Oryzias latipes: one gene and its partner. The main gene of each other region encodes a partner of the protein of the gene in region 2 in a complex. Links are inferred from orthologs where the notes say so. Each region holds a gene or a part of one and is shown on either strand. Other genes may lie near its edges.

The links.
Region 1: the proteins of ntsr1 (region 2) and uncharacterized protein LOC101157195 are in contact, whole or in part, in a crystal structure (PDB 4BUO), measured with the Rattus norvegicus proteins. The link is inferred for Oryzias latipes from reciprocal best matches to the Homo sapiens genes NTSR1 and NTS. Residues at the interface, in NP_001102437.1 of Rattus norvegicus: Ser53, Asp54, Leu55, Asp56, Asn58, Phe128, His132, His133, Tyr146, Met208, Val224, Cys225, Thr226, Pro227, Ile238, Arg327, Arg328, Phe331, Cys332, Tyr333, Ile334, Ser335, Asp336, Trp339, Phe344, Tyr347, His348, Tyr351; in NP_001095851.1 of Rattus norvegicus: Arg157, Arg158, Pro159, Tyr160, Ile161, Leu162.

Annotation. Positions count from the first base shown.
Region 1 is NC_019864.2:1,846,391-1,850,641, reverse strand, and holds the start of uncharacterized protein LOC101157195, read left to right. Parts: upstream 1-1,427; 5' UTR 1,428-1,690; coding exon 1,691-1,754; intron 1,755-2,811; coding exon 2,812-2,873; intron 2,874-4,121; coding exon 4,122-4,251. UniProt on the Homo sapiens protein: Neurotensin may play an endocrine or paracrine role in the regulation of fat metabolism. It causes contraction of smooth muscle.
Region 2 is NC_019865.2:5,560,516-5,564,901, forward strand, and holds the start of ntsr1 (neurotensin receptor type 1), read left to right. Parts: upstream 1-1,293; 5' UTR 1,294-1,448; coding exon 1,449-2,105; intron 2,106-4,386. UniProt on the Homo sapiens protein: G-protein coupled receptor for the tridecapeptide neurotensin (NTS). Signaling is effected via G proteins that activate a phosphatidylinositol-calcium second messenger system.

The DNA of each region.
Region 1 (4,251 bases), on a different chromosome or scaffold from region 2:
ACTACTCAAATGTATCGTCTTTTTTTGTAGGTTTTTGGTATTTTAATTGATGCCTAAATAGTTAGAATCAAAAACCCAAACTAAGTGCTTATGGGCAACAAAAACAGCCAAATGATGACAAATATGGAAAAATCAATGATTATAAAAATGTTAAAAAATATCTGTTTTTGGGTTTAAGGGGCTGCTGTTCCTTCTGATTTACATATTTATTTCTGGAAATGTCAAAATAAAGATAAATAAATGGTTTATCATTTATCTTTACGACACATGAAGGTTTTAAAAAATAAGGTACAAAAGAACAAAAAACTTTTCTTTATATTTTAATTTACCTAAATAAAATCAGTGTTTTTTTCAGGACAAAAATGATCATTTGTAACATAAAAAAATATTATCAATAGATTTGCTTACATTTGATTTTCTGCTTTGACTCAAGCTGTTTTCTGACATTTCTCTTACATTTATTTTTTAAATAAAATACAATGAACTACCAAATGTATTCATTCAGTAAAGTTCATTGTGTCTACAAATTGAACTGAGTTCTTATGTTCTTTTTTCTTAGATAGTTTGTTTGTCAACATAGCTAACATGTTTCGGTTGAATCACTTCCACCTTCAGTATTGTGTGACGTCTTTCAAAATCAACGTAACGTAGCTTTAATTGTCATTACATGCACAAAGATATTCCAGAAAGTGCCTTTTCAGTCACTTATTTAGCAAAAAGTAAACAACATGACACCATGTTATAGTCACTTTAAGGCAAGTTTTAGCCCAACAAAATAAAAAAGATCATTTTTGGGGATTGTTCTTACTATTTTGTATGTTTCTAAATGGTAGAATAGGAAATGTTGCCTCTTATTGCAGAAATCAAACTTGACAGCAAAAGCTTTTATTAAACAAGTTGATATCAAACATGATGAATTTCTTTTCCTTAAAGTGGAATAACCACAAATTTGGCTTGGTTTTAAAAACACTGTTTTTGGAATAACACATCTGAACAGAATTCTTTGTCCTGTTGCACTAAAATCTCTCACAAACATTGATTTAGTCTTCCAGATCACCAAACTACTAGCTGAGCTGCAGACACATCATTTGCAAAAAAAAAACCAACAGTATTTTTCTTCCCCCAAACAGAAACAGAAACACTAAGTGGGATTTGTGCAGCCTCCCACATCCTCCATGCTACACAACAATTGGACACAAATGCACTGCAAACCTCACGCTCCATGCTTTCACGGGGAGATAACCAAATGTACCAAACCATGACGCAAAAACCCTTGGTTTCATGATGCCAGAGTGACGTCTGATGGGACGGTGACACCATGATGGGATGGAAAAGATGATAGAGACTGAGGCAAGGAAAGGAGGGGGGGGCATGGAGGTGGGTGGGAAGGTGGAGATGGAGATGAGAGAGGAGACGGGAGCGTGTGGGGGTGAGGAGAACGATCCTCTGACATCACATTGGCTCTTATAAACCCAGGGAATGGAGCCCACCGCACTTCACATCCAACCTGGAAACCACAACAACCTTCTTGGACAAGAAGAAAGAAAATACCAAAAAGGAGGCTCGGCAACTGGAATCTGCATGCCTCCAACCTTTTCAGCTCCCAAATTCTGAACCTTATGGCCTAAATTCTTACAACTCTTCAGTGCAAAACGTTTTTCTTTTTGTTGGCTTTCTTTTATTTCCCTCGATGATGCAGCTGCAGGTGGCATGCATGCTCCTTCTCTGTTTCACATGCGGCACACTCTGCACGGGTAAGTACAGAGATCTTTTATCCCCCCCCCCCCCCCCCCCCCCCCCAAAAAAAAAAAGGTAGACTTTTTTACTTGCTGCATGCAACAGGTGTTTCCCCTGCCTTTGTTCCCATGTCTGTTCTAATCCAGGAGGATCTTAGATCTGCTGAAATATGCATTAATGCAAGCCAACAAGAATGTAATATAATAAAAGTAAAATTTAAATCTAGAAAATGTAGTTTCAGATGGGTCAGGGTTGATGTGAGGACGGAAGGAGGGCTCACCCATTTAAACACAACTGCTCTTTAAAGCAACAAGTTAGACTCAAGACTTTAATAACTCAACTACAAAGATGCAGTGAGGGATGTTTGCTTTTTCCTTTTTTTGCAAATTTTAGTTCATGACATCAATTAACTTTATGCTTCCATGTAAAAATACCAAGACCGATAACCACCAAAATCCAACAGATGGGTCGTTTTGTTTTTACGCTTTAGACCAATGAAGGCTTTTCCATTTGACGCTTGTTGATGCAAACACAATAACCACTTCAGATTACCTTAATTTAGCATCTACATGAACATACAAAACATTAATTACTTTTTTTTGCATAGCTGGAAATAATCAAGGATAAAAAAGAAGCTTTTTTTAATGTTTTAGTTCATGTAAATCTTAAATCGTCATTATAGACTGTAACTTGGAACAGAAGCTTTGTGGCATTACTTTTTGCATTTTAAATGTTATAAGCAATAAAATGAATATGGAAAATTATGGTTTAAAGAATATTTGTCTTTGAACTTAACTCCAGCTGTTTTTGGAATTTTCAACTTCAAGTCCTTTCGGTTTCTCAGTTACATGAGTGTCAACTTTAGAATTAATAGAGACTCAAATAGAAAAAGTTTGTCACTCATAACTTGCCACCGATAACAAATGTGGGCTTTCCCCTTGTTAAACACGTAGAGACATGCTACAGTTCTCATTTAACCACCTGGCAGCACACGGCAGATTCAAACTGATAGAGTTATTTGTGTCACATCTAACCCGAACGTTCGCCCGTCTTTTTTCTTTTTTGGTTTTGCAGTTGCTGAACAGAACCAGGAAGCCCTTGCGCAGGAGCTCATCAGCAGTCTCCTCACCTCTAAGGTACAGGTTCTGTCTGCAACTACATCAGGAAAATATGAACATATGTAGGCTTAAAATGACCGTGGTCTATTTCTTATACAACAAAAATGATCACTCCAATCGCTGATGTCCTCTTTGAGGAGACAGAGGAACCATTTCCAGACTTTCTCTGCCATCGGAGCACTAAAAGGCAGGGAGACGGTTGCTAGTGTTGGGTTCCAGCTGAACCTCCTTTCCTTACTAAGGAATGAAAAATGAAGCATGATGGTGTCAAACCGTGCCTCATCGCTGCTAATGTTTGGTCAGAAGTAATGAGCACGATTGCAACAAAAGGTGCTGCAGACTCTGGAGAGGAGGATCACAGAGGACAGCAGCACATCAACTCACACATCTGTTGGTGTCTCACATCCAGGAGAGGAAGTTTACGGGAAAATGACGCCGACTTCAAGACCTTCTTTACTATACAGCACAGACCTTTACATTGCTGAACCTTTTTTATTGTCAAACTGAAAACACGACTGTCCCTCCCTACAAAGTTTGAGGCCAAGTAAAAGAGCTCTGCCACTCTTCTGTTGAAACACACCTGTACGACTGCTGCCTTTAAATAGTCTTTTTCACTTGAAATTTGAGGGGTTTAGAGGGGCTTGAGCTTATATTCAATACACTATTTCCATTTTTTTCCATGAACCTCTATGTCACTCGCTGCTCTTAAATAAGGGATGTGATGTTTGCGGACTCATCCACTCAGATCTTCATTTAATCTCTTCCCGCCTGACTTTATTTCCAATTGTATACAAACAATATTGTAAATTTGAGATGCTGCCAAATGAATTAAAGTCCTGGATGTAATGGTAAGTCAGTGACATATAAAGGGGTTAACCACGTCACATAGTCTGACCCTCTTCTTCTGGGCACATTTAGAGGCAGACAGGAAAAAGTCCTCATGAATTCAGTTTAAACGAATGGATGGAGCTCAGATTTATTTAATGTATCTTAAAGGTTGCAATGAGAAACACTTTATAATGACCAACTATGTTTTACTAAACATTTGCAAGATGTTAGCATCTCTAAAAACATCTGTGAATGTCCTGAGTTCTGGGGAACGTTTTATGTCAGCTTTCACACTTTCTCTGCTGTAAAATCCAGAGATGAGGAGGAGAACTGAAGGATGTTTAATCAAAGAGGCTATTAAAAGTGTCCAAAATGAAAATGTGGTCACATGAAAGTCCTGTTTTTTTGACGACAATGTTTCTCCTTTTTCCCTTCTAGATTAGACACGAATGGCAGAGCGCCCCCTACTGGCATTCACAGCTCTCCAGTTTGTGCAAATTAGTGAGTGGCCTTCAGGAGGGCACATGGAGCAGAGAGGAGGAGGAAGGGGAGGAAGGGGAGGTGAGGG
Region 2 (4,386 bases):
CAACTTAAACAAGAACTAATGTTCAGTGTCTCATCAGATAGCTTTTAACCCTTGTGTTATCCTAGGCACTTTTACATTGGGAGTTGGGTCATCCAGACCCACTAGACTGTGCTCTGAACCTTTTTTCTTCAATGATTTGTGATCTTCACTGGTGTCCATGGATTACATGAAATCTTTCCACCATTATCCACCTTTGTCATGGTAAGGAGAACACGTCAATGGAAGGGTGGGGTCATCTAAGACAGCACAACAGTTTTTACCGAGTATTATAACCAGGGTCTGTTTTAGCACCATAAACTAGAGAAATTGCATTTCTTTCCAGATATAGAAAATATAGAAATACTACGCTGGATCAGATTTTATGCTCACTTGATCAGGCTGAATCTTAATGCTTCTGCTGCCATACAGTGGTGGACAGTCGAGTCATGGCGAGGCTTGGTACACAAAGATTGAGGGCTGTCCACGTCGTCTACAAACTCGCTCGTGGCTGAGCAATCCAATTCGGGAAAGGCAGACCCTGCAGCAGAGGCTGTAGGTGAAAGTCTGTTCTGGATTCGGTGGTGGACAGTGGAGTGGAGAGGCGGAGCTAACATGCTCGTTGCCACAGCGCTTAGCTGCACTTGCCTTGCTGGTGCTGAAGTAGATTCAGTATTTTAACTTCTGTTTGTGCATTCTGTACTTTCTCTTTTTTTTATTTTGGCCAAGAACTAATGTCCATTTTTGGCAATCTTATAGAAATAACAATATAAAGTAAAAAAATGAAACAATATGGTGGCAGCCTTGTCCTTGGGGCGTGTGTATAATACGTGAATGGGTGGGCCCAGCTAACCCTTTGATGCCAGGGCTGATTAAATAGTGACAAGCAGTAACCGAACCCTTATCACCATGGCCCCACCTCCGTGTTTGACTGTTACTCTCATTTTGTTCAGTCTGTTTAACTCCAGATGTCAAGTGATTTCCAGAAAGGCCTTTTTATCCAGATGTTTCCTAATGTCAGACCTTTTGTCTTTGTGCTCATTTTGGTTTTAATGTACCTTTGCAGGTAGCATATCTGTTATCAAACTTATCAAATAAGAACTATTTCTTCTTCAGGGAATCTTTGTGGAGTATAACAAACGCTTTTATATATAAACTGTGTCAGTTATAATAGCAAAATTCAACATTATTCATTATTCAACATTATTAATTAAAACAATTCCTCTCCAAATTCAGTAAAATGTCAGGAGTCTCGTGAGTCAGAGGCTCCTCTCGCCCTCCGTGCGCGCGCGTCACCGCGGCAGCGGGAGCTGCTCTCACGCCTCCAGTTGTGCCAAGTATAAAAGCCGGCTCTCCTCCAACCTCCACCGACAGACAGACAGACAGGTCCTACACTGCTAAAGTGAAAGGTCCGCTCCCGGTTTGAATTCCCACAAACCGCGCGCTCATGGTCTGTGCGTGAACCAAGAAAGATGGATGTGAACTCCTCGCTGTCGGAGCGCAGCTTGTTCGGCTTCAGCGCGCTGGCCAAGAGACTTTTGGGGAACATATCCGTGTTGGAGAACCACACTGCTAAAGCAGGGAAGGAGGAACTGGACGTGAACACGGACATCTACTCCAAGGTGGTCGTCACCGTCATTTACGTGGCCCTGTTCGCTGTCGGCTCTCTCGGAAACTCCATAACGCTTTACACCCTGCTGTCCAAGAAGAGCCTCCAGAACCTCCAGAGCACCGTGCACTACCACCTGGCAAGCCTCGCCGTGTCGGACCTGCTCATTCTCATAATTTCCATGCCCATCGAGATCTACAACTTCATCTGGGTCCACCACCCGTGGGTGTTTGGGGACGCCGTGTGCAGGGGCTACTTCTTCCTGCGGGACAGCTGCTCGTACGCAACGGCGCTCAACATCGCCAGCCTGAGCGTGGAGCGCTACATGGCCATCTGCCACCCGTTCAAAGCCAAGAGCATCATGTCCCGGAGCCGAACCAAGAAGCTGATCAGCGCCATGTGGCTCGCGTCTTTCGCGCTCTCCACACCCATGCTCTTCATCATGGGTCAAACTATAAGTAAAGACGAAGAGATCTGCACCACCATCGTGCCTCATGGGACCATGAAGACCGTTCTCCAGGTAAGCATCTCATTTAACCGTAAGAAATAAAGGAACCATCCCAAAGATGAGCGCGCCCTGGAACACCCGAGCCAGCCTTTACGCACGGCTGCTCCCATCTGCGCGCATTCATACCCTCAAAAAGAGAAGATGGAGAAGCAGAGTTTCTCCAAACTATTTAAAATACATCTATGAGTTTAATAAAACATGGATTCATTAACCAGAAATACACTTAAACCCTCCAGCTTCACTTTCAGACTTTTAGGTAATGAAATATGAAACAGTTTACATTTTGCCACATTTTTGAGTGCAGAAACACGGGAAAATGTTTTTTCTGTTAATAATAGATGGTTTTTGTTTTTTTCTGAGACATGAGTAGCCTAAACTTCGTGGAATTGGCTTTGTTCTCATTCAGTGATTCATCTTTCATGGAAACCAAAATGAAGATTTGGTTCTCTACAGATCTCTTTATTCCTTTAAGATGAAACCTAAAGAAAATTTCCTTTCAAACTTTAAACAATTTCAAAGCGTTCCCAGTGCTATTTTAAATTTGACTGTGCCATTTTTAGCCTAAATAAATTTAAAAAAAACTGTCTTTTTTTAGGACATAATTTCTGCAGAGCAGCAGGAGTTGTGGGAGGGACTGTTGATGAGGAGCAACCCCGTCCCCTCTTCCCCTCCCTGTTGCTGAGAGCTAAGAGGGAGCTTGTGGCCTACTCAGTGTTTTTTCTAGGACACAAATAAGCTCTTTTACAAATTGTTTTTTTTTCTTCTGCTCCTGATTCACTCTGATTTGAAAAAAATAAATGTTGATTTTTTAGCTTAATTTTCTTCTATAGATGTCGTCCATCATCAGAAAAATGCCACAAGTACAGCACATCAGAAATAACATAACGCTCTTGTGAGACTTTATGTGCGACAAAGGTAAAGGTTTTCAGCTCATAAAAAGAGAAGGATTCTGTTTCAGCCTTTTACAAAAATAAACCTTGACATTTCTTTGGCGTTCTACTTTAAATCAGATGTTTCGTAAATGGAAACCCATTTGCTTAAATGGAAAATTTTAACACACAGGAAACAACATGTTGGTTTGAAAATGTTTGGAAAAGTTTACAAGGTAAATTCAAGACCATTTGTTTCAAATGGTGATTGATGCCAGGTAGGTTACCAAATCTGACACTGGAACAGTTTATTGTACAAGTATTGATGCTTTGAGCGCCTGCATGCTCTGTGCCGCTTCTGATCCATTTAAAGTCCCACTCCGATCATCTTTTAATCTATTTTCAAAGCATTACCAGTGGGTCTTTAATTGTGATTATGCTGTTTTTAGACAAATTAAAAAAAACTGTTTTTTTTAGGACATTGTTTTCGCAGAGTGGCAGGAGTTGGGGGCAGGACTGTAGGTGTGGACCCCCTCCCCGTTGCGAAGAGCTCTCTGCTTACTTGCTCTCCTGCTAGCTTACAGCCCCTCACACTCCCAATATAACATTACCATGGGGACAAAAATGGTGAGCAACTTCAAAGCTATCCAGCCGTACAGTTTTAGGCCAGATGCCAGCTCATAAGAGGAAAACAAAGACCTACATGGATCTAGTTAGCTGCAAATGGATGCATCCGAATGGAGATCTGCCCAATGTTGCTCCTACATCGCAGCTAAAGGTTTTTCAACCTGCATTTTTTTCGCCTGCGACTGATTCCCAATGATTTGATTAAAGTAATACTCTATATTGTGTCCTCCATAATCAGAAAAATGGTACAAGATGGTGCTTAAAACACCAAAAACTTGATTTTCATTGGAGTTGGTCTTTAAACTAGTTCTCCTGGGAACCATTCCTCACATCAAAAAGAGATCAAGTTCTGTTTGTTCTCTGAATTTCATTTATTAGGTTTTTCTTTTGTCTGACCACACCTTTAGCTTCCATTTGTTTAAAAAAAAAAAAGACCGCAATGAATCCCCGTTTTTGAGTCCCACGGTGAAAACCCAAATGGTTTCACGGTGTTCTTATTGTTAGAATGTGAACAGAAAAATAAGGTTTCAAGGACAAATAGACAATGGAACGTGAGCTGTCGTGCACAGTTAAAGAGTCTTCACAATGAGCATCTCCCTATGAAGGCTTTCATTTCTCATTTCCTTTCAAGTCTCACAATTTTTTCTAATTTTCTTTTCAGCATCCCTGCAAGACAGCGATTTAGTCAGGCAGAGCTGAAGCCATCAGCTCTTATCTGCCTTGAATTGTTTTCCCACACAGCACTTTGGTGTCAGCCACGTTGCAATTGTTTGTATTTTATTTTGGTTTATACTCAC